Cricetulus griseus: one gene and its partners. The protein of the gene in region 7 purifies or fractionates together with the protein of the main gene of each other region. This does not show direct contact. Links are inferred from orthologs where the notes say so. Each region holds a gene or a part of one and is shown on either strand. Other genes may lie near its edges.

Region 1 (3,500 bases), on a different chromosome or scaffold from region 7:
ATTTCAGCGTGTGATTGCCTGAGGAGTTTGAGGGGTGCATGCGGACGGAGAGGCAGGCATTGCTTTGCCTCCATGTGCTTGTCCTTGTCTCTTCTGCTCTGTAGGCAAAGATGAAGAAGGGTGCAACTGATTGAGGGGTACTGTAAGGGCTGTGGGGGAGAAGCCTTTAAGAAAATGATCGTTTGGGAATGAGAGGGGTCTTCTAACCTGACTTGATACTGGAATGAGTGAAAATGGGAGGCCTATGGTGCTTGTACAGCCTTAGGGCCTGTCTAACTTTGCAAGGGCAGAACTGGAATCATTTCAGGGCTACTTTGGGGGCTCATGAGCTCATGTTTACCACTGTTCTCTTGGTCCTACTACTTTTTTGGGGTCCAGACATGAATTCCATATGTTGGGTAAGATTCTTGTTGGATGATAAGGGAGCTGAGCTTTGAGACTGGTTGTGGGCTCCATTCCTCAAGCTAAAGCTTTTGGATACCTTCAAGGAAAGAAGGCTATAGTTTGATAACCTCCATTGAGCCCTTAAGTCTTAGTTGTAATGTTTTAGGAAAATTATGATTGAGTGAGTAATGCAGTCCTTCAAATAGTATTGCTCTTCATGCTGTCTTGGCTTGCTTGCCTGGAGCATTAGGGTGACCTCTTACATACTGTGTCATCCTTGAGTAGGTATGAGAGATCATTGGCTTTGAACCTAGGGCCAGGTAATAACGTGAGAAGTCGTCTTTGAGGGTACTCTTTGCTCTGTGTACTTGTGTCAGCTCCACCCCCTCCCTGCCACTTCCTGTCTGTCTTATGTTGGCACTGGGTGCCCTGGGCTGCTTCCGCGGTCAGGAGCCATTTTCCTTCTCTTCAGTGGGTGAGGCACTCCCTTCTCTCTCCTCCCTTTCCTACTCCCCCCTTCTTGGGCGGGGGTGGCTTGGGAAGAGATGGAGGAGAGGGAGGAGGGAACTGGGAGCCAGTGTACGTCTGGTACAAAGAAAGCTGCCTCCTAGCCTTCTCCCTCTGTGCCCTTTCTACCTATCCTTGCCCAGGAGCCCCAGTGTTACCCAGGCTTTGTGTGTGCTTCTAGCCAGGGAAGGAGGTGGAGCCAGATGGGAGGGGGGTTGGGAAGGGGAGATGGTGACAGCTGGGCTGATTCCGGGGCCCCTAGGGAGAAGAGTCGCCTGACCCAGGAGAAAGCTGGAAAGAAACAGTAGGACTAGAGATGGAGAAAGGAAACTGGGAATGGGTATGAAGTTGAACTGGAAACTGAATCTGGGACTGGGGAGATTCTGGTGGTTCTGAGCAGTGATAATCGTGAAGGGGTTTGATAAGGGTGTGATTTCTTAGACCCTGAACCTGGTGTTTGATCTGGTGGTGTGCTGAGTTTGTGTTTAGTGCATTCTTCTAGTTAGGCTTTCCTCACCTTTCAGTCTCATGGGCTGTTTGGTGGCCACTTGTGGGAGGACCAGATCCAGTTCTCCTATTTGCTGCAATCCAGGCAGCTCCATTTACCACAGCTGGAGGTGACTAGAGTGCTGAGGAGAGGTAGGGACCTGGACAGCTGCCCGAGGTGGGCCTGCGCTAGCCTGGCAGGCCTGTTTCAGGGACCTCGCTCTCTTTGTCTGTTTGTGCTCTGGGTATCAGCTCCCTTCTGTGTAGTGTAGCAATTCTCTTTAGGGGATCTGGGACCAGAGGTTGGGAGATAGACTAACCCTCTACACTAGATCCTTACCTTTTGCCTTCTCCCCCCCCTTCCCCTGTCTGTCACACTTGGCCAAATGTGTGTAGAAAATGAAGAAGACCCAGAAGAGGATTTATCAGAAGCAGAGACTCCAAAGCTCAAAAAGAAGAAAAAGCCTAAGAAACCTCGAGACCCTAAAATCCCTAAGAGCAAGCGCCAAAAAAAGGAGGTGAGTGGGTGACTGAGTGTTCTGGGGAGTGAGAGGAAGGAGAAGGAGGTGCTCCAAGAAGGGTTGTAGGCCTGAGGGGAGTTTTTCCTTCTGGAGCTGTGGGTCAGGTCCTGGGATGAGCCTCAGGACTGTCCTGAGGTGAGCATGTGTGTAGCATGTGTGTCTGTCCCCTCTTCCCCCTTCCCTGCTCCAGCGTTTACTCTTATGCCGGCAGCTGGGGGACAGCTCTGGGGAGGGGCCAGAGTTTGTGGAGGAGGAGGAAGAGGTGGCTCTGCGCTCGGACAGTGAGGGCAGCGACTACACTCCTGGCAAGAAGAAGAAGAAGAAGCTTGGACCTAAGAAGGAGAAGAAGAGCAAGTCCAAGCGGAAGGAGGAGGAAGAAGAGGAGGACGATGACGATGATTCAAAGGTGCGAGGCCTCTGTCCTGTCAAGACCGCTGCCCTCTCCTCTTTCCTGTTAGCCCCTGAGCCTTGTTCCGATACGTTCCTGCCCTTCAGAGCACAATCTCTCCATGTAGTTTTGATTGTTTCCTCTTAGCTCTCTTTTACCTTGCTCTTGCAAGCCATAGTTTCAACTCACGTTCTCTTAGCAAGTGTGAGCAGTAGGAGACAGGTCCTGGATTGTGTTCCCTCTGCAGGAACCGAAATCATCTGCCCAGCTTTTGGAAGACTGGGGCATGGAAGACATTGACCATGTGTTCTCAGAGGAAGACTACCGTACTCTCACCAATTACAAGGCCTTCAGCCAGTTCGTCCGGTAAGTCAGGAGGATCTTAGGGACTGGGAAGGGAGGAGATTCCTTCTACAATTTCATCTTGTTTCCTTTTATCTTTTATTTTTATACACGGCCATCTTTCTTATTCTTGTCCCTCTTATTCTTGCCATCTCTCTATCAGACCCCTAATTGCTGCTAAAAACCCCAAGATTGCTGTCTCTAAGATGATGATGGTCTTGGGTGCAAAGTGGAGGGAATTCAGTACCAACAACCCCTTCAAGGGCAGCTCTGGGGCTTCAGTGGCGGCTGCGGCGGCAGCAGCTGTGGCTGTGGTGGAGAGCATGGTGACTGCTACTGAAGTTGCACCTCCCCCTCCCCCTGTGGAGGTGCCTATCCGCAAGGCCAAGACCAAGGAGGGCAAAGGTGAGATGGAACTTAATGAGGAGTTCAGGGTGGGCTTGGGAAGTCAAAAGACAGCCTAGGAATGCTGTATCACCCCTAAGGTAGGCAGCAGGATGCAGGAGTGAACCTCAGATTTAGAAGATAAGGCAGAGTAGAGCAAAACTTAGGTGAAGACTTTGTTCTCCCATCACTTGCCTTGTAATATACATTTGGCTGTGCACTGGCTTTAGGTCCCAATGCTCGAAGGAAGCCCAAAGGCAGCCCTCGCGTGCCTGATGCCAAGAAGCCCAAACCCAAGAAAGTAGCTCCTCTGAAAATCAAGCTGGGAGGCTTTGGCTCCAAGCGGAAGAGATCCTCGGTGAGAGCCTGGTTCATCCCAGTGGGGAAGGAGGGAGCTTCTGTTGGGTACATGAGAATGGGGTATTTTACTGCCTTAGGCAGGTGTGACTACGCTCCTTCTCTGCAATTCTTGCTGGGATTCTTCACCA
Region 2 (4,107 bases), about 310 Mb from region 7:
TGTGTGTGTGAGTGTGTGTGTGTGTGTGTGTGTGTGTGTGTGTGTGCTGAGGTAGGACTGGCTCCTATTTTCAAACCATCCCCACAAAATGTCTTCCTACAAGATTAATAAAATCTTCCAATTAAAAAGGTTAAGATACCTGGACATAAGGTTTTCTCAACTGACATCATTTGTTTCCATAGTGACATTGTTAAGAAGACATGGTGATATTTCTGAAGACTTACAGTACTGGAGAACACGGGGGAAAATAGCAGAAGGAAAGGGAAGGGGGGAACAAAGGAGCTAGGAAGGCCTCACACACAAATGGAGCAGCCTGAAGAGACATGTAGAACCCGAAGAAGCTGCCAGTCTGAGAGAGTTCCTCTGAGATCTGGAAGGAACATATTCTATTCTTTCTGGCAGAAATCACCCTAAACCAGACAATAAAGTCTTTGCAATGCATCAGAATGATAACCAAGCCCCAGAACTCAAAAGAGAAAAGCAAAGACAGGAAGAAAAATCTCAGCCTAGGGCCACCAACCTCCCTCACACTGAGGGAGTAACATTTCCTGGAGACATTCAGGGACCTGGAGCAGCTGAAAGTTGTGTGAAGATCTCAGTGGAAATGTTTTAGATTTTGCCTAGTCTTTCCTTAAGGAGGTCAAAAACCCTTAAGGTCCACTCCAAAGGAGAAAAAAATTCCAAAAGTTTACTTTAAAATGGAAACAAACATCTCAGTAACTTGTGAAAGCGCTCGTTGGGTAGGAGAAAAATCTGAGGAACCCTTAAAAGCCCTCATTCCCTTGCTTAATGAATAGATAGCGAGGAACCACCAAAAGGTCTCCCTCTGGAGAGGGAGAAGGAGTAGGCAGGCATGCCTCTTCCTCCAGCCATCACCAAGAGAGCTTCAAAATGGAGACATCCATAATTTTATAAACACTTCTCATCCCAGCTTTGTCTCCTGGAAGCCCGCTCTCCTCCATTTTCTGGTGGAGTTACAGCATGACAAGGCTTACCTGACTCAGTTCCCAGCTCTCAACCCAACTAGTCAATTCCCTCCCCAAACCTGCAAGCAACCTCCAGAAACAAAACCAAACCAAGCCAAACAGCCAACACAGACACTCAGACACAACCCCCGGGAGCCCTGGAGAAAGCCCCAACTGGTTGGTCTTTTCCCATCCCAGGCGCGTGCTTAAAAATGAAACTTTTTTCTTTTCTTTTCTCTCTTCTTCTTTTTTTTTTAAGGTTGGGGAGGAATATAAAAGAAACTCCAGGCAACCTCTTCCCCTCCCTCTCTGTAGGTTAGGAGCCACAATGAAAAGAAAACCAGGGTTCCTTCAGGAATGGTGAACAGCCTGGAGAATGAACGTGAGAAGGAGCTTTGTGTTTTGGAGTCTGGACTGGAACCAAAGCAGACAGCTTGCAAATGGAGGACAGGGAGATAAAGAAAGGGAAAGAGAGGGGCTGCTCCAATGGGGGGCGGCTGCGGCTTCCCCCCCGTGCCTGGAGGGAGGGCAGACCCCTGGGAACCGCACCAGGAGTGAGACGCCCCCCCTCCAGGCCCCTGCCTTCCTTTCTCCCAGCCTCAGAGGAGCCAAGCGTGTGTAATGGCTTCTCCTCTCCAGAAACCGTTGTCCTCCTCCAACCAGACGCTTCTGAACCTTCAGCCTGGAGACAGCTCCTCAGCTGTCCCTCAACCTGCGCCCCCACCCGGCCCGCGGCCCCCCGCTCGTCGCCTCTCTCCTCCCCAGTAGCGGCGGCTGCAGCCACCCCCTCGACACATCCCGACCCCGCATCCCAACTTCGGAGAGGAGAGAGGAGAGAGAGAGAGGAGAGCCAAATACCTGAGGAAGAGGGGGGTGCCAATCCGCACGGCTTTGCCATCGGGCGGGGGACAGGCAGACAGAGGAGGGGAAAGGAAGCAGAGGGACAGAGAAAGAAAGAGGTCAACCCGCTCAGGTCGGGGCCGCTCGCTCCGAGCGCTCCCTCCTCTGACCCCTCGCTTGCTCCCTCTGGCTCGGGCTCAGGTCTCTCCTGGCCTCCAGCCCTCCGCCCCCCTTCTCTGTCCCTACTCCTGTCCCCACACTCGGAGCATCCGTCCTAAGCCTCCAGCTCTCTCCTCTCACTCATCTCATTTCTCTCTCTTCTCTTCACAGAACTACACGAAATTAATTAAGCCACAGGGCTCCCCCCCCCCAGCAGAAGGCAGAAGGAGCAGCCAGCAGGAAAAGCACAGCCACCTCCACAGCTACCACCACCACCTTCTCCTCTTCCTCCTCCTCTTCCTCCCTAGCTTCTTCTCCTCCTCTTCCTCCTCCCCCTGCTGCTCTCCCTCCTCCCCCTCCTCCTCCTTCTCCTCCTCCTCCTCGGTCTCTCCTCTCTTTAGCTTCTTCTCCTCTCTCCTCATAGCCAGCCCATGCAGGGGACTTCCTCTCCTCCCCGCGCCGCCAGCCCTCCTTGGCCGAATGAATGAGCGCGTTTGTGCCTCCACCGCCCCGCGCTCTCCTCCCCGGAGCACTCAGACCACCCCGGAGGTGGTGGTTAATTGCAGTAACTTACAGAAGAAGCGTCCCGGCGCCGGGAGGTGCTTCGGGTTCTCCAGCCCCACCGCCTCCTTATCCTCTTTCTCTTTCTCCTCTTCCTGCTCGGGTTATTGTTGTGGAAGTTGTTTGGGAGTCTCATGTGCTTCTGCCGGGTCTCAGCAATGGAGGATCGCCATCTTCCCTGCCTTCCACGGCTCCTCAGACTCGCTGCAGCTGCAGATGACCTGAGATATCCGTCTCTCTCCCCTCTCCCTCCCTCCCTCTCCTCTCACTCTCTCTCTCTCTCCCCTCTCTCTCTCTCTCTCTCTCTCTCTCTGCTCTTCTCTCTCCTCTCCTCCCTCTCCCTCGCGCGCGCTCTCTCTCTCCCTCCCTCTGTGTCTCTCTCTGAATAATGAGCAACCAGAGGGAGAGAGAAAGCAAGACAGAAAGAGAGAAGACAATCTTCTCCTGCCACACAAAACGCCAGAGCACCAGGGGGTGCGCGAAGCCTTTCTAATAACAACAACGTGCAGGAGAGAGGAAGGGAAAGAAAGAAAGAAATGAGAAAAGGGCTGGGGGGGAAATACGAAGAATTATCCAAGAGCTGGAGAAGCGCAGGAGAAGCTGGAGGAGATGCTGAAGCTGCGGCTGCTGCCCGCCCCCCTCCCGCGCTGAACCCCAGAAGGAGGCAAGGTGGTTGCAAAGTTAAGGCTGGGACATTGTCTTTGTCACTCTGAACAACACAGAGCCAGGCCAGTGAGATGCAAGAGGAGGAGGTGGCGGTGGAGGAGGAGGAGGAGGTGGTGGTGGTGGTGGTGGTGGAGGAGGAGGAGGAAGAGGAGGAGAAGGAGGCAAAGGAGGAGGAGAAGGGGAAGAGAGAGATGAGATGAATAAAGACCTGCGGAAAAGGCGGCGCGAGGAGCGCGACCGCCGGGCTCCGGGCGTGCGCGCTCGCCTCCCGGAGGCGCCCGACCTCCCTGGCCAGAGGAGCAAGCCCCCAGTGAGAACCCTGCTCTGCTCGCACCATCAGCCCTGCCCCAGGCGCCCAGCCCCGGCTCTAAAGGGTCCCTCAAATGAATCCATCTAGAGGCCAATCTTTGCAAAGAACAGAGATGAAGAACTGAAGGTTGCAAGTCTAAACCCAGATCAACCACGTGGGGCTTTTTAATTCCTTTCCAGCTTGCAGTGTATCTCCAGTGAAGGGCTCAAGTTGTCCATTACTGGCATGTATTTTTAAGTCGTCGCCCTCTAAATAAAGGCTCATTGTGCGGTTTATGTCTCTTCTGATACGAAAAGGAGAAGAAGGAGCCCATCATTTTTATCTAGAAGCCACCACTTTCTTTTCCGAACTTGTGAAATGTTTTGACGGCGCACCAAGGTGTGTGTGTGGGGGGGTGTAGTACTTAAATAACTTTCCACCCTCGCGCCCCGCGTTGTTTGCACTTTCCGACTGATCATCTAAAGGCTTGGAAAGTAACAATCGTCGCTCCTAATGATAAGGTGTCATGATGTTGAAGACAAGAGAGCCAAGCTGAAGCATCACACCTTGAATTTTTATTTTGTGTAATTTCCCCCCAAATCACTCTGAACTATCTCTTTTTCAAAG
Region 3 (3,500 bases), about 230 Mb from region 7:
AAGATACATATTTATCAGACTAGTAAATGGGTTTGTTAGTTTTGTGGATGCTGATAGGAAATGTGATACTTCCTGGGCCAGATATAAAAAAAATTTCTCACAGTAGTATCAGAGCCTAAAATACCTGTTTTTGGCATTTCTTAGAATCCCAATCCCCATAGGATGACATGAAGAGGGCTAAGTAGCATATATGCTGCACTGTATATAGGAAAGGCAGCCTGTGTATTTGAGTTTAGAAAATCAAGTATCAGTATGATAAGCATTGCTGTCCTTTCCCCTGGAAGGGAGGGGACCTTTTCAAAAGTTACCTGTTTTTACAAACAATGAGAAGGTAGTTTGTTTCAGGAGATAATGAATGCCTCTGATGATTCTTGCAGAAGTGAAAAGACCTAGAATGTCATCCCTCAACATTAGCTACTTATACTTTGTATTGAATATAATTTCATTTTCATGTTTTAAAAAATAGTTCTGTTATAAGCTTTTATGATCATGCATTTGGTATGTAATACATAACATTTGAGTACTGGGTACTTGTCTAGTGTTCTTGGAGCCTTGAGTTTGATTTCTAGTACTATATACACTTCTGAAAAACTGGCACTGGGGTGGTAGAAGCAGGAGGATCAGAAGTTCATCTTTCTTTACATATGAGTTTCAAAGCCCTTTGGGTTAAAATGATATCCCCATCTCAAAGCAAAACAAACCAAAATACATATTTATATCTTACTTACTTACTATTTTGTGTTGATTTTTACTCATATTTTCAACACTAATGGTGTTACATGTTGTAAGTATGTTTATGTGTCTTCATTATTATTTATTTTGGAGCAGGGTCTCTCTCTACTGAGCCCTGGGTATACTGGAACTGATTGTATAGACCAGGCTGGCCTTAAACTCAGAGATCCGCCCACCTGCCTTTGCCTCCCAAGTGCTGGGATTAAAGGCATGTGTACAGTGCCCTGCCTGCTTATGTGTCTATGCACAGTTACCAATAGTAATACAATCTGAGGAATACACAAACTCAGTGATATAGTACACTACACTATACACCTAAGCTAAATATTCATATAGTCATACATTGCTTATTGGTACTGATACATTCTGAGAACATGTTATAAATGATTTTTTCATGTTAAAATCATAGATTATAAAGCTAGGACGTGTGGTGTCATTAGAAAGTATAATCTTAGGGACTGTCATGTATATATAGTTGATTATTGATGAGAGCATTGTTGGATACCACATAACTGTATATGCTATGGAATATGCTCCTTTGCTGAATAAAAATCCCGAGATTAAATCAAACACTAGAGAGAATTAGGAAGTCAAGAGAAGCAATAATCATTTAATTATATCAGGGTACTACTAGTCTAACATTGCAGTTTCACAGTACATTAATTTTTTTCATATGTAGGACTCTAAAATGATAAAAATCACACTAAGTTCATAAACCAGTAATTGTAGTTATTATTAATCAAGTATGTACTGTGGTATTACACTAGGTTTGTTTACACTAACATCACTACAGATGCCTGTATAATGTTGTGTGTATAGTATTGCCAGATAATAGAATTTTCCCCTGTATTATAATTTTATGGATTTACTATAGAATATGTGATGGCATGGATCAAAATGAGGTTCACAGCTCTATTATTTATTAACATTTGTGTGCATGATGGTATTTATATTCATATTTTGTATTCCTGTTACTTGTATTGAGGTAGGACTTGGGTGGGGCTCACAGGCTGAATCCAGACTGCTTCTTGCATCTCACCAAATCTGTGGGGATGTTGTGTGGGTGGCATGACATTAGCTCCCTCTTGGTGCCAACTCATTGTGGTTCATTTTCAGCCCCACAGGAGACAAGATTCGAAGCAAAGTTGAGCTGACTCGATACCTAGGCCCCGCATGTGATCTTACCCTCTTTGACTTCAGACAAGGCATCTTGTGCTATCCAGCTCCCAAGGTACTTCACAATGTCAGTGTCCGTGCCAGGGCACCTGTGTCACGTGATACCCATGTACTAACCCACACTCTTCCTGTCTTCATCTCTAGACCCATCATCCCGTGACTGTCCCTAGCAAGCAGAAAAAGAAGCCTTCTAAACCATCCAAGGTCAAGAAACGTCAGGTTGGGCCTCAGAAGAGTGAGGTCAAGAAGGAGACTCCACAGGATGAGAATAAGGCTGGCACTGGCACAGCTCCAGCTTCATTATCTGCACCTGGGTGAGTGTTGGCTTAAGGTTAGCCAGGTGGGTGAGGCTTGGGATTGGGAGTACATAGCTCTGCTCTTTTAATTTTAGGTGCTGTGAGAATTGTGGAAACCACTTCTCATGGGATGGTGTCAAAAGGCAGAGGCTTAAGACATTGTGCAAAGACTGCCGAGGTAAGTCCCTAGGAATTAGGAGACAAACCACATATTAGATCCAGTGCCAGGCTAAGCTGGAGGTTATACAGTACATGTCAGGATAGGATAGCGGCTTTGGGCATATATGGAATCAGCCTGTGACCCTACTCTATTGGCATATGTAGAACAGTGAGAGTCAGGGTTAAGATAGTAGCTGAAGCCATATGTCTGTGTCTGTTGCTTCTTTTCCATTTCTCACCATTCTTCCTTCTTCCACCAGCACAGAGAATTGCCTTCAACCGAGAACAGAGAATGTTTAGGGTAAGAACAGTATATTTCCCATAGTCTATAAGAGAACAGGATGTCATAGGACTGATGGAGGGTTTAGGAGTCATGACAGGTCTTTTTTGTTTTTTTGTTTTTGTTGTTGTTTTTTAAATTGAGACCTGCTGTTGGTTAGTTTGTAGATGCAATAATGGTAATTAATGGGGTACTAGTAGACACAGGGATGAATTTAACAGAGCACTAGTAGAAGGAACAGTAGTGGCCTTGGTGTTGGTAAGCTAATCAGTAGTTTATTAGCTAGAGTAAAGAGGTTAACGGGAGACTAATAAGCATGGCTAACATTTGGAAGGATAGTGGTCCTTGAGTCCCCTGTCTAGGCTTCTAATCTTACCCCATACATTTCTGACAGAGAGTTGGCTGTGGAGAGTGTACAGCTTGCCTGGTAAAAGAAGACTGTGGGACTTGCTCTATCTGCCGCCTGCAGCTGCCCCATGATGTAGCCTCAGGACTCTTCTGCAAGTGTGAGCAGAGACGCTGCCTGCGGATTGTGGAGAAGGTGAGTCAGTCAGATGAGGTGTGCCAAGGCTCTCCTCAGTCCCTGGCCTTCAAGGCCCTGACCCCATACATCACAACTCCGGCCCCCACAGAGTCGAGGGTGTGGAGTGTGTCGGGGCTGTCAGACCCAAGAAGACTGTGGCCGCTGCCGAGTCTGCCTTCGCCCTTCCCGCCCTGGTGTCAAGCGCCAGTGGAGGTGTATGCAGCGGCGCTGCTTTTGGGTGAGTCAGGCTGAGAGACCAGTGCTGGTGGAGCAAAGGCTGGGCCAGTGCTCATTCTGCTATTAAATTTACCACCATGGCTGCTGTTGCTTCCGC
Region 4 (2,988 bases), on a different chromosome or scaffold from region 7:
CTCTCCGCTGACGGCCGGTACCGGCTTCCGCCGCTCGGGCTCCACCCCCGGCTCGCGGGATCTAACCGCCCTCTCCCCGGCGAATGACAGCACCCCGAGGCCCCGCCTCCCTGGGGATTGGCCGAGCCAGCCGGACGGAGCCGGCCCCCACGGGCCTTTCACTCAACCGCTGCAAGGCTGAGCCAAGCGGCTCCGGGAGGCCCGGGAAGCCCGCTCTCGCCTGGGCCCGGGGGAGGCTCGGGATCGCGGTGAGGACGGCGCCCCCGAGGTGCCCAGGCCAGCCCCGAACCAGGCGGCGGCTGTCACAGCAGAGACACAAGGTAAACACAAGAATACAATAAGAAAAGAAATTCATTGTTTATTAATGTGTTTGCAAAACTTAAAACATCTGGTTGTCAAAAGACACGCCACCAAAAGGGGAGGAGCGCAGTCCATCCTCTGCTCAGTCTTCTGCCCGCGGCCATCCAAAACATTGTGGAGGCAGGGCGAGCAGGAGGCCGCTAATCAGAGTCTGAGAGCACAATGATCTCCTCGGGATCACACTGCGTGGCCACACTCATCTGCAGAGAAGTCACAAGGGGACAGGCAGAGGGGAGGAGTCAGGTCCAGCCGGCGGCGGTGGCGGCGGCGGCAGCAGCACTCAGGAGGCAGAGGCAGGCGGATCTCTGAGTCTGGGGCCAGCCTGGTCTCCACAGAGTGCCAGGACAGCCAGGGCTACATGGAAAGACCCTATCTCAAGAACAAACCAAACTAGGATGGAGGTCTGGAAGAAGAGCCAGCCACTAGGAGCACTGGCTGCTTTGCAGAGGACCTGGGTTCGGTACCCAGACTCACACGGCGCGCAGCTCGCTGGCTGCCTTCTGTAACCCCCGTTCTTGAGGACCAGGCGCCCCTTCTGGACTCCACTGAACACCAGGCACAAATGTGGTACACAGACATGCATAGACGAAACACCTTTTCACATATAAGTAAACCTTTTCTTTTTTTAAGGCAGGGGTCTCACACTATGTAACCTTGGAACTCATTGTGTAGACAAGACAGTTGGCCTTGAACTTATAGAAATCTGCCTGTCTCGGGCTGGAGGGATGGCTCAGAGCTTAAGAGCACTGCCCACTCTCCAGAGGTCCTGAGTTCAATTCCCAGCAACCATATGGTGGCTCACAACCATCCGTTATGAGATCTGGTGCCCTCTTCTGGCCTGCAGGCATATATGCGGGCAGAACACTACATCACAAATAAATCTTTTTTTTTTTAAAAAAAAGGGAGCCATCAAAAAAAAAAAAAAAAAAAAAAAAGAAAAGAAAAAGAAAACTGCCAGTCTCTGCCTCCTGAGTGGTGGACTTAAAGGCATAAACTACTACGTTGTGCAAAATAAACCTAAACACACATACACCACACACACGCACGCACACACAACACAAACCTAGGATGGATAAATAGAGATGTGTGAGGTGCAATACCCCATGGAGAGGGGACAGTAAGAAATGAATTGTTGCCAGGCAGTGGTGGCACATGTCTTTAATCCCAACACTTGGGAGGCAGAGATCTCTGTGAGTTCAAGACTAGCCTGGTCCACAAAGCAAGTTCCAGGACAGCCTCCAAAGCCACCCAAAGCTATACCAAGAAACCCTGTCTCGGAAAAAAATAAAGAAATGAATTGTTAGGGAAACACAGCAGCCCAACTTACCTTATAACTACAAGGCTGGGGAGACTGAGGCTGGGGGGTTGGGGACGTCAGAGATGGAAAAGGGCTGCAGAGGGAGCTGGTCACCAGGCCATGGCTGGGAGAGTCCACCCTTGTGGAGGAATCGGCCACTGGGGAAGATCCAGTAGGCGGGGTCCACACATTCTTCCCATTTCCCTGCTGAGCCTTTTGCTTCTCTACATTGCTAAGGCAAAGAGAACAGATGGACGGGAAGGGGACCCGAAACTGCGGCTGCAGAGTGCCCAGTATCTCCCAGAAGACCCTGACCTCAGGTCTGCTACCCGAAAGCCCCAGCTCCTTGCCATCCGCCTGCTCTTACCTGTTTTCTAATGGTTCAGAATCCAGCAGCTTCTTTTCCTTCCGAGATCTCTTGCATGGGGGACCAGAATCTTGCCAAGTGTGGGAAGAGACACGCCCATTGAAGGATGTAGAGGTGACCACATCTGCCCCGTTTTCCAAGACAGTGGGGAGGGAATCTTCTGACTGTTTCCTAGAAGAGGAAATGTCCTTCTCCTCAAGGCATGGGGTGGTATCCTTGTCTTCAATCTCTAGCTGAAAACTGTGGGACAAAGGACTCTCTTCTTCTAGGAATGGCTCTTCGGGCTGTTCCCCGCTGCTCTCAGCATCTACGCTGTGAGGGTCTGGAGACGCTGCTGTCTCTGACAGTCCTTTGTTTTGCTGCTCCCCTTGTGAGTTGCTTCTACTGGGGCTCTTATCTCCTTCACTGTCTGCAAAAGAGAGAAGGGAGGGTAGCAAAAGCAACGGGAGGAGGGGGCTGTGCAAAGGAGCAGGGGGGGGAGGGAAGGCCAGCAGGGCCGCAGGGGTGCTCTGCTCACACGTGTACCTGCTCCTCCTCCTCCCTCCTCCTCTCCGGCACCCCCCTCATCTTGCTGCAGTCGTTCTAGGTCCTCATCTTCATCTTCAGTGACCTCTTCCTCCTCCTCCTCCTCCTCCTCCTCCTCCTCCTCCTCCTCCTCCTCCTCACTTTCCTCATCGTCGTCAGTGTCAGCCCTGGAGGTAGTAGGGCACTCCTGGGATGCCAGTCCACTAGGACCCTGGGGGACAAAAGCGTCTCTTGTAAGGACTAGGACTCAAACCGGGGACCTCAGGAACACTAGGTGAGAAGACCACAAACGGCCCCACCCCCAAGGACTTGGTGCTTTCACTGTTTCCACACACTGCTCCATTGGTCCCCCTCGAGTCCCTGGGGGCCAGCGCAGGGGGAGGACAAGATCTCTCTGACAGGCGCTGACCCGTCCTTACCTCACCCGAATCCAAGGAGA
Region 5 (4,044 bases), on a different chromosome or scaffold from region 7:
TGGGATAGGGCCTAGGCCTTCCCCTCCCTCCTCCATGTGTCTAATCTGAGGAAGTATCCCTCTATGTGAAATGGGCTCCCAAAGTCCATTCTTATGGTGATTATTTTTTAATGTTCACATTACACAACTAGAGGCACACTGGAAAAACAATGGCTAGAAAATAGTAGATCTCTGAATGGGTCTGATTACACACTGCTCCGTAGAAAGAAAATTTCCAGAGAAGGCATAAGAAATAATTCTCCAGTGACATAAATAGCAACGTCTTTTATGAATTTGAGGTCTTAATCTCAAACTTCACTCAAAAGGGCTTTCCTAGAGCTATAGCTAACATAAATACCAGTGTTTTCAGATTAGCAACTTCATTCTCAAATTCTCTTTCCAAAAGTACATCCATCAAATAAACAATAATAAATGAATAGCCAGGTAAAGGATAGATTTTGCCAATGGAAAAAAAGGGCTAAAGACTTGCTGTATAACACACTAACACATAAAATGTGATAAGTCAAGATGAATCATATTTATTGAGAAGAAACTGTATCGAATTGAGATTATGATTATGCCTAAAGTTCTGCATTAAAAAAAAAAAAAAAAAAAAAAAAAACCCGGGCTGGAGAGATGGCTCAGTGGTTAAGAGCACTGCTTGTTCTTCCAAAGGTCCTGAGTTCAATTCCCAGCAACCACATGGTGGCTCGAGATCTGGTGACCTCCTCTGGCCTGCAGGCAACATGCAGGTAGAACACTGTACACATAATAAATAAATAAATCTTAAAAAAAAAAAGAAAGAAAAGAAAAAAGAAAAACAGAAACAAAACTTTAAAAAAACAAAAAACAAAAAAACTCCCAAATAGAACTAAACATTGCATTTTTCTTTTTCTTTTTCTTTTTGAAACATTATAGTCTTGGCTGTCCTGGAACTCCTCTATAGACCAGGCTGGCCTCAAGCTCACAGAGACAGATCCACCTGCCTCTGCCTCTGGAGGAGTGCTGGGCTTAAAGGTCAGCAGTGCCACTGACCAAATGACATTAGACACTGCATTTTTCTAGTAGTCAATTTCATTTGAACACAAGGATCAGAAATCTCAAAACAAAAACTGGTCAGTGAAGACATGCATACAAAAACACCTTTGTTTTTCGAGCATAATTATACTTTCAAAGGCAAAGAACAATTAGTATATTTAAAATACACAGGGAAAAAAAAATAGGCATGGTGACTTACACCTACAATCCCAGCACGGGGGAAGACTGAGGTAGGAGACTCCTGAGCTCCAAAGCTGCATGATGACAACCATCCCTCCCACCCCCGCCCCGAAAAAGAGACAAAAATATTGATAAGATCCAGCGAGTATGAAGGGATCTGTGGATTTCGACTCTGTTAAGCCAAGTGCTATCTGTGCTCACCTCCTTACATTCTGCAGTAAACATTTTAGACACATTGCCACTGGGCATACATAAATAGATTTAGAACTGTTAACACTATCTCTACAAAAATGAACAATACAATAATATTTTCTTAAATGGGCTGGACTAAAGTCGGGCAGTGGTGGCTCATGTCTTTTAATCCTAGCACTCTGGGAGGGAGAGACATATGGATCTCGGTGTCCAAGCCAGTCTACTCTACCGAGTGAGTTGCAGGACAGCCAGGGCTGCACAGGGAAAAGCTGTATGGAAAAAAAAAGGGGGGGTCGGATAGGCGCTGAGCTAGCCTGTAACACCAGCATTCGGGAAAGGGAGTTACTGAGAATTTGACACCATCCTGAGTTACACAGGGAGACCCTTTGTCAACAACAACAAATAATAATACTAATGAATTCACCGATGTTGTTTTATGTACTAGACTGCATTTCTGTGCACACGGGACTTGACTCAAGGACTTAAGAGGCGCACTTAACAGATAACGTGTACAACAATAGCGTGACTGGGCGGAGCTCCGTGTCAATTCTATACAAAACTTAAGAGGTTCTTGAGTTTCAAGCTTTGAAGCAACTACAAACAAAAATGAGCTGAGATTTAAAACAACAACAACAAAAGCCCGGCTTCGAATCCTTGGCCTTTCGAATCACTTTTGGAAGATGCAGGAGGCTGGAAAAGAAAAATGCTATTAACCGAGCCTGCTGGGACGACGAGGGACACCAGGCTTATTTACTTGAGGGACAGAGGGGCGAACGGCAGCCTCTCCTATCTGCCGGGGGGGGGGGGAGGGAGAGAGAAGCGGCGGGGCGGGCGGGGGCGGGGTCGGCCAGGCAAGGGTTCAGAGGGACGCAGGAAGAAAGTGAGATCGAGTGCGCCGTGGGCGGAAGCGAACGTGAACGCGGGTGAAATTACGAGGAAGGCGTGGCAGGTCAGCCGCTAGCCAACGGGGAAGACCCGTGGGCCGAAGACAATCGAGCCGAGTGTCGCGGGAGGAGGGAGCGAGCCAGAGGGGTGCAGAAGGGGCAGGCTGCAGCAGAGGCGGCCCCGACAGCTGCGGTCGCGCCCGCGCGGCTCCGGGGCTCTCCATTATGCGCCCCCCGCCGCTCCCTCCCCCCCTCCCTCCTTCCTTCCCTCCCCACCGCGCCGACCGGCGGCCGCCAGCCGCGCAGACAGCACGGTCCGCTCGGCCCTCGCGCAAGCCCTCCTCCTCACCGGTCGAAGATCGCCGACGCCCGGGCCTGGCCCTGTCCATCTCCTCCTCCGCCGGCCCTTCCAGTCGCGCTTCCAGGCGCTGTCACCTCAGGACCCCTCAGGCTGGGGAAGGGAGGGGGGAGGGGAGAGAGAAAGGCAGGAACGAGACTCGCGCTTGCGCACTAGCGGCCGCCTCCCTCCGACCGGAAGTCCCTTGCCCCTCCCACCTCTGCGAGAGGTAGCGCTTCCCGGGAGGGCCTTGTTGGGGGGGCGGGGGAGGGGGGCGGCTGCCACCTCTAAGGCCTTGGCAGGGGGCAGTTTCACCACCAGGGTCGCTAAGGGAAAGGGAGGCTTGGCTTACGGTTTTAACCTGCTGACCTTAAAGCTGCGGTTGACAAAAATTAAATCTACCGAGTCCCTCCAGTTACTCGGTGGTCTCTCTTGAGCTGTTTGTGCTCAAGAAGCCGACTCAAAGTTAGAACAAAACAGCAAAATGTAGTTTTTCTTATAATTGTTCAATGTAAGAAATATTCAAATATGAAGTCTTTTCTATCAAAAACTATAAAACTTGTGTTTAGGACTCAGGAAGTTTAGGCCTCAGGAAGTCCATATATCCAGAAATAACAGTCTTGGCCCAGCAGTTAGATAAAAGTCGGCATTCCTCTGAATCGTTTCCCTTGCCTGACAGATGGGGCTTAGGACTCTCTATTGACACATACATACATACCTACTTACATACTTTCTTGTGGTTGAATATCAAGTCCACGCTAGCCTACAGCACAGTCCCTATTCACAAGTACCCAAACCCAGAGCCTCCTGGCCTCTCCCCCTACTCCTCCTGCCCTATGCTAAGCCCCCAGGCTGTCCGACAGCCCCATTCTTTAAAACGCCACGGTTTCCCCGCTGTGCCTGCTATCTGTTGCTATCTCACTATCTCTCCCACTGTTCTCTCCTTCACAGAAAGCCCTGGCCATGTCCAGTCCGCTGCTTTTTCTCTCAGCTCTGGGCTCTTCCAGATGCCTATGGATATTTTCTTTCTTACCCACAATTTTAAAAAATTATCATGAAGCAGCCATGCCAGTGGTTTCTTCACTGTTCCCTCTACAAAGGCAAGGAATTCAAATCTTTTTCCTCCCCCACCTTGTAAGACTTTTAGACAAATGCTCTTCCCACCCAGCTGAAGCCAGAACTTTGATGTATTTCAGGGAACTGATGGCAGGAGGCAATGACTCCCTTCTGCCTTCTTCGTTTCCTGTGCACCAAGTCTCTTCAGAAGAGCTACTAGAATTAAGAGTGTGAGGTCAGACCCCAACCAATGAGAGAAGACACAGGTCACCACCTGAGTTAGAATAAAAATAAAAATCTCAGCATGCTTGCTCTTCTGAGCACATCCTCTTGATGAAAACGCAAGTTTGCCTTGCCCAGTCACTTCAGTTAAAATGA
Region 6 (4,224 bases), about 380 Mb from region 7:
GGCCTGAAGCCCCACTCTCCAGTCCAGTGGAAGCAAAAGCCCGGGCCTCGGTCCCTTGGAACCCACAGTTTCGGCCAGCTTGCCCTCCTGGATGCCCATGGTGAGGGGCCCAGCCACCACCCTTGTCCCCAGCCCACTCAGCACCTGCCTCCCCAAAGCCTGGGCCACTGGGCACCTGCTCTGGGAACAGAGTCCCGTTCTTTCGGGACCGCCTCTTGCGCTTGGGTTTCCCAGTCACAGCATCTATCTCCCCTCGGCCCCTTTTACGTGGGTGCCCCAACTCTGTGAGACCTGGACCCACAACCCCAGTAGCTGCCACTGGTACCACCTTCTTTTTCTTGCCAATGCCCTCAAAGAAGTCACTAAAGGAACAGCGGGCTGCCTTGGCCGCATGACCTCCACCCCTGCCTCCAAAGCCTCCTGTTTTGCCTCCTCGCCTCCGGAAGCCCTGTACACGATGAAGGAATTGGGAGATGCTCTGGGTGTCTGGAGCCTGGTGCACTGACTCAGGCTCACTGGGAGTCCAGCAGCGGGGTGGTGAGCACCTCCCAGCACACTGGCTCTGGCGGTTCAAAAAGGCCAGCTTGGCAAGGACGTCAGAGTACTCAGCCTTACTGTCATTGGCATCTGCTGCATACGATGGCTGAGGAGATGCCAGCTTTTGTTTTCGTCGCCTCCGTTTCTTCACCTCTGGCATGGCCAAGGTGGCCGCCGCGACAGTAGCAGCCTCAGCAGCTACCACTGCTGGCTCTTTCGGCTTGCCGGGACCCAGCAGCAGGTTCTTAGGAGGGCGGCCACGCTTACGCTTGAGGATAATGGGCATCTCACCTGGCGGGAAGACCACCACCACATTCCGGCCATTGTTCTTCATTTTCAGCAATGGGGTGGGCTCTGTCGACACCCGCAAGCCCAGCTCCTTGCCTTCCACACTCAGACTGCTGCTCAAGGATGAAACTTTGTATGTGGTCTTATTCCTGCGCCCCAGGGACACAGGGATCTTGGCCATCTTCACCACCATGCGCCGTACACCCCTGCACTTGCCTTTGCGGGTGGGGACCACTGGGGTCTGAGAGGACTCTGCCTCCAGCTCAGAAACTGGGCCTGGGCCTGACAGAGCAGGAGGTGGTGGAGGTGGTGGCAGTGGCGGGGGCTCAGTCAGGGCAGCTGCTAGCCCTGTAGGCATGGGCAGGGGAAGTAGGCGGCCTTCAGGTCCTGAATCTGCCTTCCGCCCTCTTCCAGCTTTCCGCCGTCGACACAGGATCTTTGGCCTATCAGTTCGCCTCAAGGCGTACTTGGGGTGGCCCTCAGGCCCAGGGGGACCATGAGGTGAGCACAAGTCTAGGCGTAAGGGCTCAGCCAATTGGCAGTGCCCCAGGGACTGCTGGGGCTCTAGACGTCGACCAGGGACATCCAGCAACTTGGGCAGGGGATCGAGGGCCTGGGGGTCAAGGAGCTGGGACTCCAAGGAGTCAGGTAGGGTATCTAGGGCCTGCAGAGTCAGGCTTGGCAGCCCCAGAGGATCAGCAAGAGGCTGCAGGGGTGGTAGCTCCAAACCTTCACCTAAAGGCTCTAGCGCCTGCGAGTCTAGAAAGCGGGGCTGGGGGTCTAGGAGCTGTGGCTCCGGCTGCGGAGATGGTGGCTCAAGGGCCTGAGCCTCCAGGAGCTGGGCCTCAGGACACGTAAGGGAGGCCAGTTCATTGAGGATATCGGCATCTGCTAGCTCGGAATAGTCAGGCCCATCTGGCTCGGGCTCTGGGGGCAGACCAGTGGCTGTAGCTGTGGCTCCAGGTCCATGGCCTTGGCCAGGCTGGGGACTATCCCTGGGCTCAGGCTCAGGTTCATAGAGGGGGTGGCTGGGCCGCTCTGACTTGGCGTGAGGTGTGACGCGCTCCTCAGGGCTTCGGATACTGTTGGCCAGGCTAGGTGAGGAGAAGAAGCTGTACTGCAGGTCACCGGGTGGTGGGGCAGGTGGGCGGCTCAGTCTCAGCCCACCACAGTCCAGATGCACACCACTGTGCTGCAGGTCCTGGGACAGCCTTGTCAGGTCCTTCATGATGTCAATCAGCTGCACCACTGGACGCAGGTTCACACGGCCGTTGTCCCAGTGGTGGAGGGAGTTGCTGTCTGGGGCCGGTGTGGGACAGTGGGCCTGGGAGACAGGCCGGGCTGCCCGAGGGGGTAGCAGGTCGTCTCCTTTGGCAAGGACTGGTGGACGCCGGGTACTAGGGTCCCGGCGTGGGGGTGGGCGTGGGTTCTCAGAGAAGGTGTGGGTAGAAAAGGCCTTGTCAGGTGGGCTGGCAGGAGGTCGGGTAGGAAGCAAGGGCCGGGGGGTTGGGGGACCACCGGGGTAGTACTTGGGCTCTCGGAGGTAGTCAGGAGAGCTGCACACTGCACTGGAAGTCACCACAAGGCCCTGGGGCTTCACACGCATCCTGACCTTGTCCTCCGAGGGCCACCGGGCGGGGCCAGGGCTGACATGAGGGTGCGAGAAGCCAGGACCAGAACCTGCCAGAAAAGGAGAGGTGGGAGGTTCTTCACTGAGCATCTTTGGTTTCCCACATCCTAATGAGCCCTTTCTCTATGCTTCCATTGTTCCTCTGTGTTCCAGCCCCTGGCCCAAGCCCAAATCACTTGCAGGTCTTCAATCGGGTATACATACACTTCGATAGTCTATAGGGTCCAAGAGGATAGATAGCATCACTGTCTTGGAGAGAGAGGCCCAACAGCAGGACAAGATGGCCATACCACATGAAACTGACTCATTAGCATCTTTCCTTCTCATCCCCATTCCCCAAGGTGCACTCACCCTCGGCTCTGCCGCCTGGGCTGTCACACTGGTTATCTCTGTGGGCAACAAGACATGTAACAGATCTGAATTCTCCACATGATTTAGGGTCCACACTCAACCCCAGCTACCCGCACACAGCCCCACCCCTTTCCAGCCCCCTCAGTGCTCCTTCATGCCTGACCTGGTAAACAGAGGGCCCCCGTGCTTGGGGACTCTGCCAGTCGCTGGTTGTCAGCTGGGGGTGTTGTGGGGCCACTTCGGCCTGAGCCCAGGCCTTGGGGTGTGGACAGCGCCTGGAAAGGACCACCGCAGCTCAGGTTTAGTGAGCACCTACTGCACGCCAGGCACTGGGCTGGAAGCTGTCCAGGCATTGCTTCATTTAATTCTTCATACCAATCCTGCGAGGTAGGGGCTATTAATAACCCCATTTTGCAGATGAAGAAGTGGTGGCTCAGACATGAAGTAATATCCATCCATCCATTCATATGTTCATTATTTATGGAATATCTACTTTGCACAAGGCCTGGGTAGTCAGACATTGAACAGATAATCATAAGTGACTTAATAATTAGTGGACTAAGAGCTACAAAGAAAAGTGAAGAGAGTACCTAGCATCAAGGGTCTAGCCACCTCCAGGAAGCTGACAACAAAAGCCTGTACTTTGGGGACACTTTCTCTATTACCAACACTAGGCTAAGCACTTTAATGGATTACCTCATCTAACCTCCATACCATACAGAAATCAATTATTATCCTGCCCATTTTTAAAGAAACCATTCAGTAAAGGTTTGTCTCCTGATGCACGAAACTCCCCAAGTCTGACACAGCTCATGTTTATTACATTAAAAACAAACAAAACACCCTTATTTTTACTTTACATGTTTGAGTGTTTTGCCTGCACAGATGCACACACACACACACACACACACACACACACACACACACACACACACACACACGTTTATGCCCTGGTACCCAGGTGAGAAGAGGACATCAGATTGCCCAGACTGGAGTTATAGATGGCTATGAGCCACCATGTGGGTGCTGAAAACTGAACCAGGATCCTCTTAACTGCTAAGCCATCTCTTCAGCTATTATTTTGTTACATTGTGTGTGTGTGTGTGTGTGTGTGTGTGTGTGTGTGTGTGTGTGTGTGTGTGTGTGTGTATGTGTATGTGCTTATGTATGTATGGAGGTCAAAGGACAACTTGCAGAAGTCAGTTCTCTCCTTGTGGGTCCCGTGGACTAAACTCACGTTGTCAGGTCAAATGGCAAGTGCTTTTAGCCACTGAGCCATCTCACCAGCCCTGTTTTTCAGGACAGGGCAATGGACAGAGGGTAACAGACATGCACCACCATGCTGGCTCTCATGAAGTTTTTTCTTATTCTTTTCTAGACCCAACAGAGGTGCTGAGGGAGTAAGTGACAAGAACGTA
Region 7 (3,500 bases):
GGACAGGCTCCAAAGCAATACAGAGAAACCCTGTCTGGAAGCAAAAAAAAAAAACAAAAAACAAAAAACAAAGCAGCACTCTGGTATAACAGATGCTAAATAATCTGTTATGCATGAATCAACTTACCTAAAATGCCCAGTACTCCATAAGAATAATGTTAAATCATGAAAGGAAATAACTTTCAATAGATCCTGAAGGGACCTAACTTTAAAGTACTGGCAAAACATTGACTATTTTAGCAAATTTACTTCTACCTGTTGTTTTTTATTGCATTTTGTTTTTGTTTGCTTTTTGTGGTAATGAGGATTAAAACCCAGCCAGGTGGTAGCAAACACCTTCAATCCCCAGCACTAGGGAGGCAAAGGCAGGCAGATCTCTGAGTTCCAGGCCAGTCTGGTCTACAGAGCTAGTTCCAGGACAGCCAAGGACCGTGAAACTCTGACTCGAAAACAAAAACAAACAAACAAAATACCAAACCAAACCAAAAATCCAAGAGAACAAAACCCAATTCCTCATATACACTAGGCAAACACTCCACTACTGAGCTATATATCTTCTGCTAAAGATAAAGTTGTGATGTCAGGCTGTGAAAATGGCTCAGTAGGTAAATACACTTCCTATCCAAGCCTGAAGACCAGAGTTCAGTCCCTGGAACTAAAAAGCTGGATGTGCTGGTCTTCCTACTGCAAGATGCGGGGGCAAAGACAGAACTGGCTGAAAGCTAGCCTCAGATATCCTGCTCACAACCAAAACAAGAGACTTTGACTCACACAAGAAAGTGAAAGTGACCTGCCCCTTAGAAATTAAAAATTTAAACAAACAAAAAAGCACTTATATTGAAATGCTAGTTATAAACTGGGCATAGTAGTACAATGCTTTCAGCACTAACCTGGACCTCACAGAGATCCACTTGACTCAGAGAGCTGGGATTAAAGCCTTGGCTTCTTTTCATAAATCGTTTATTATATATGCACATGTGTATCTATTAAGTGTATATTCCTGTTTGTCTGCATGAGTGTGGGTGTGTATGACTGGAAGTCTGAGACCACCTCAGTTGTAGGTCCCCACCTTCTAAACTTATTCACTGCGAGGTATGCCAGGCTAGTTACCCCTCAGGCTTCCAGGGATTCTCTTGTTTCAGTCTCAATCTCAGTGTGGGACCACAGGGAGAGATGCATGTGCCTAACTCTGCATGGGTTCTAGTATCTAAATTCAAATGCTCACACTTGCCATAACAAGTGGTCTACTCACACTCATTGAGACCTCTAAGTACTATGTATGTCTTATCTCTGTCTTTGTCTGTTTCTTTTCTTTTCTTTTTCTGGCATACCTGAGAATCAAACCAGAACCCTGAGTATGCTAGGTGAAAGCACTTTACCATTAAACTACACCCACCTCTTGTCCCTATTTTATTAAAGGGGAAAAAATGAAAAGATTATAAAATTAAACAATGGACCGAAGAAATAGCTCAGTATTTAAGAGCACTGCCTGCTCTCCCAGAGAACCATGGTTTGGCTCCCAAAACTCACATGGCCACTCACAACCATATGCAACTCCTGTTCCAGCTGATCTGATGCGCTCTCTGCACTGTGGGCACCAGACAACACAAATGCAGTATACAGATATACATGCAGGTAAAAGACTCACACACACACACACACACAAAAAAAAAAAAAAAAAAATTTATGTGTGTTTTCGGAGACAGGGTTTCTCTGTGTAGCCCTGACAGTCCCGGAACACTATCTTTAGACCAGTCTGGCCTCAAACCCATGCCCCCCCCTTTCTGGGAATAAAGGTGTGTATCATCACCCAGCCCAGCAAGAAAATATTTTTTTTTCTTTTCTTTTTCTTTTTGGTTTCAAAACAGCATTTCACTGTATAACACCCCTAGCTGGCCTGGAATTAGCTCTGTAGACCAGGTTGGCCTCAAACTCACAGAGATCTGCCTGTCTCCCAAGTGCTGGGATTAAAGGTGTACGCCACCAACCAGCTAAGAATTTTTTAAATAACAAAAATAAAAGAAATTAGCCAAGTTCATCCACCTATATCTTAAAGGGTGGAACAAGAATCTGGTCCCAGACTATCTGGCTCCCAAATTTGTGTTCCCAACCAATTTCTTAAATTACCCCTCAAATATAAGATTATTAAAACATCAGCTCCACAATGGGAGACTATTGTGGTCTATTGACTCTCTTGATTTTTATGAAAGTGTATAAATGGGAAAAAGACAGTGGCTCTGGGTAAATTTTTCTACCTCTACAGAGTCCTAATGCCTGAAAAAGAAAGCACTTACTCAGAAAAGCCTTTCCACTTCAACAGATACTCCACTTGCCCCTTAACCATGCGTCTGTCTAACACCTTTTCCACCACATACTCCTCCTCATCCTCGGAAGAAGAACTGTCAGCTGTCCTCTTGGTTTTCTTTCCCATGTCGCACGCTGATCCACCTGAAGGACTAAGGCCACCAGGTTCCTGAAAAGGGATAAAGATAAAACGGTTACAATCCGTGAGGGTTATAACTGCCACTTCTTGATGGAACAGAGGGTACAATACTAGTCAGTCTCATACCCTTCTTTTTGGTCTACAATTATTCTAAGACAGGGCTACAGATTTAATTTTAAAATGGGTCAATCCACATTTCCCTAACAACAACTTCTCTTCAGTTGAAGAGATCAAATTAGATGACACATTCCTTTAATTTTAATATTCAAAAAACCAAGTAGCATGACATGCTACTCATGACCATTTCTGCATCTACTTGTGAGCCAGGAACTCAAAGGAAAATGTGGAAAACCTTCAATTAAAGGAACCAAAAAATAAAAATCCTTTTCCTCTGAGGCGAATACATGTTTTTATAAAAATGAAGAAAAAGAAAAAAAGAAACCTTCCCCCACAAAACACCCAAAAGTAACTTTTCCATACTCTGAGCATTTTGGTCAGTCTCTTCTCAGCGTGTACGTGTACATACACACACACACACACACACACACACACACACACACACACACACACACACACGGCAGTTAACCATCTCTCACCACATTTCTAGTGACTTGGTACATTTCCCTTAAACAACTTGAGTCTGTCCCTTTAGCATGTCCATCAGCTCACAAAAACAAGGCTGACAGCTCAAAAACACTAAGCCTCCTTTTTAGCAAGCTCATTTGGGAATAGAAGGGAAAGGGGGCAGAGGGAAAAAAATTCAAAATTAGTCATTGGACTAGTCTGTAATTCCCAGGGCTCGACTAACCCAAACAGTTATGGAGGTACCTTGCCTCTTCACTGAAGTTGACTTTGGGCCAAAGGAAGAGGAGGGGAAAGAAGTCTGGCCCCAGATTCTGAATCAACATGAAGCCTCCTCAGAACACAGAGGACTATTCATCTCCCAGGAAAGCCAGGACAAGGCAGCACAAATGGAAATTAGGCTCAGAAATATGCAGTCAGAGGTGCTCAACAGAGAATCTAGTTTTAAAAATTCCCACACTGCTGAACCATAATC

The links.
Region 1: the proteins of Cbx5 (region 7) and Chd4 purify together in Homo sapiens (affinity purification with mass spectrometry; 5 studies listed by BioGRID and IntAct, with this or other methods). This does not show direct contact. The link is inferred for Cricetulus griseus from reciprocal best matches to the Homo sapiens genes CBX5 and CHD4.
Region 2: the proteins of Cbx5 (region 7) and Znf462 purify together in Homo sapiens (affinity purification with mass spectrometry; 3 studies listed by BioGRID and IntAct, counting the BioPlex papers as one, with this or other methods). This does not show direct contact. The link is inferred for Cricetulus griseus from reciprocal best matches to the Homo sapiens genes CBX5 and ZNF462.
Region 3: the proteins of Cbx5 (region 7) and Mbd1 purify together in Homo sapiens (affinity purification with western blotting; 3 studies listed by BioGRID and IntAct, with this or other methods). This does not show direct contact. The link is inferred for Cricetulus griseus from reciprocal best matches to the Homo sapiens genes CBX5 and MBD1.
Region 4: the proteins of Cbx5 (region 7) and Daxx purify together in Homo sapiens (affinity purification with mass spectrometry; 3 studies listed by BioGRID and IntAct, with this or other methods). This does not show direct contact. The link is inferred for Cricetulus griseus from reciprocal best matches to the Homo sapiens genes CBX5 and DAXX.
Region 5: the proteins of Cbx5 (region 7) and Senp7 purify together in Homo sapiens (affinity purification with mass spectrometry; 3 studies listed by BioGRID and IntAct, with this or other methods). This does not show direct contact. The link is inferred for Cricetulus griseus from reciprocal best matches to the Homo sapiens genes CBX5 and SENP7.
Region 6: the proteins of Cbx5 (region 7) and Ahdc1 purify together in Homo sapiens (affinity purification with mass spectrometry; 3 studies listed by BioGRID and IntAct, with this or other methods). This does not show direct contact. The link is inferred for Cricetulus griseus from reciprocal best matches to the Homo sapiens genes CBX5 and AHDC1.

What each region holds. Positions count from the first base shown.
Region 1 is NC_048601.1:21,327,357-21,330,856, reverse strand, and holds part of Chd4 (chromodomain-helicase-DNA-binding protein 4), read left to right. Parts: intron 1-1,773; coding exon 1,774-1,895; intron 1,896-2,088; coding exon 2,089-2,304; intron 2,305-2,533; coding exon 2,534-2,652; intron 2,653-2,791; coding exon 2,792-3,033; intron 3,034-3,242; coding exon 3,243-3,370; intron 3,371-3,500. UniProt on the Homo sapiens protein: ATP-dependent chromatin-remodeling factor that binds and distorts nucleosomal DNA. Acts as a component of the histone deacetylase NuRD complex which participates in the remodeling of chromatin.
Region 2 is NC_048595.1:88,915,039-88,919,145, forward strand, and holds the start of Znf462 (zinc finger protein 462), read right to left. Parts: upstream 2,801-4,107; 5' UTR 2,539-2,800; intron 2,235-2,538; exon of another isoform or gene 1,824-2,234; intron 1-1,823. UniProt on the Homo sapiens protein: Zinc finger nuclear factor involved in transcription by regulating chromatin structure and organization. Involved in the pluripotency and differentiation of embryonic stem cells by regulating SOX2, POU5F1/OCT4, and NANOG.
Region 3 is NC_048595.1:165,545,061-165,548,560, reverse strand, and holds part of Mbd1 (methyl-CpG-binding domain protein 1), read left to right. Parts: intron 1-1,848; coding exon 1,849-1,963; intron 1,964-2,052; coding exon 2,053-2,222; intron 2,223-2,299; coding exon 2,300-2,382; intron 2,383-2,623; coding exon 2,624-2,664; intron 2,665-3,037; coding exon 3,038-3,184; intron 3,185-3,275; coding exon 3,276-3,404; intron 3,405-3,500. UniProt on the Homo sapiens protein: Transcriptional repressor that binds CpG islands in promoters where the DNA is methylated at position 5 of cytosine within CpG dinucleotides. Binding is abolished by the presence of 7-mG that is produced by DNA damage by methylmethanesulfonate (MMS).
Region 4 is NW_023276806.1:232,095,284-232,098,271, forward strand, and holds the end of Daxx (death domain-associated protein 6), read right to left. Parts: coding exon 2,969-2,988; intron 2,761-2,968; coding exon 2,550-2,760; intron 2,434-2,549; coding exon 2,025-2,433; intron 1,890-2,024; coding exon 1,688-1,889; intron 561-1,687; coding exon 501-560; downstream 1-500. UniProt on the Homo sapiens protein: Transcription corepressor known to repress transcriptional potential of several sumoylated transcription factors. Down-regulates basal and activated transcription.
Region 5 is NC_048597.1:36,024,282-36,028,325, forward strand, and holds the start of Senp7 (sentrin-specific protease 7), read right to left. Parts: upstream 2,801-4,044; 5' UTR 2,663-2,800; coding exon 2,623-2,662; intron 1-2,622. UniProt on the Homo sapiens protein: Protease that acts as a positive regulator of the cGAS-STING pathway by catalyzing desumoylation of CGAS. Desumoylation of CGAS promotes DNA-binding activity of CGAS, subsequent oligomerization and activation.
Region 6 is NC_048595.1:20,200,461-20,204,684, forward strand, and holds the start of Ahdc1 (AT-hook DNA-binding motif-containing protein 1), read right to left. Parts: upstream 2,801-4,224; 5' UTR 2,751-2,800; coding exon 2,660-2,750; intron 2,506-2,659; coding exon 1-2,505. UniProt on the Homo sapiens protein: Transcription factor required for the proper patterning of the epidermis, which plays a key role in early epithelial morphogenesis. Directly binds promoter and enhancer regions and acts by maintaining local enhancer-promoter chromatin architecture.
Region 7 is NC_048595.1:399,592,082-399,595,581, forward strand, and holds part of Cbx5 (chromobox protein homolog 5), read right to left. Parts: intron 2,474-3,500; 5' UTR 2,432-2,473; coding exon 2,295-2,431; intron 1-2,294. UniProt on the Homo sapiens protein: Component of heterochromatin that recognizes and binds histone H3 tails methylated at 'Lys-9' (H3K9me), leading to epigenetic repression. In contrast, it is excluded from chromatin when 'Tyr-41' of histone H3 is phosphorylated (H3Y41ph).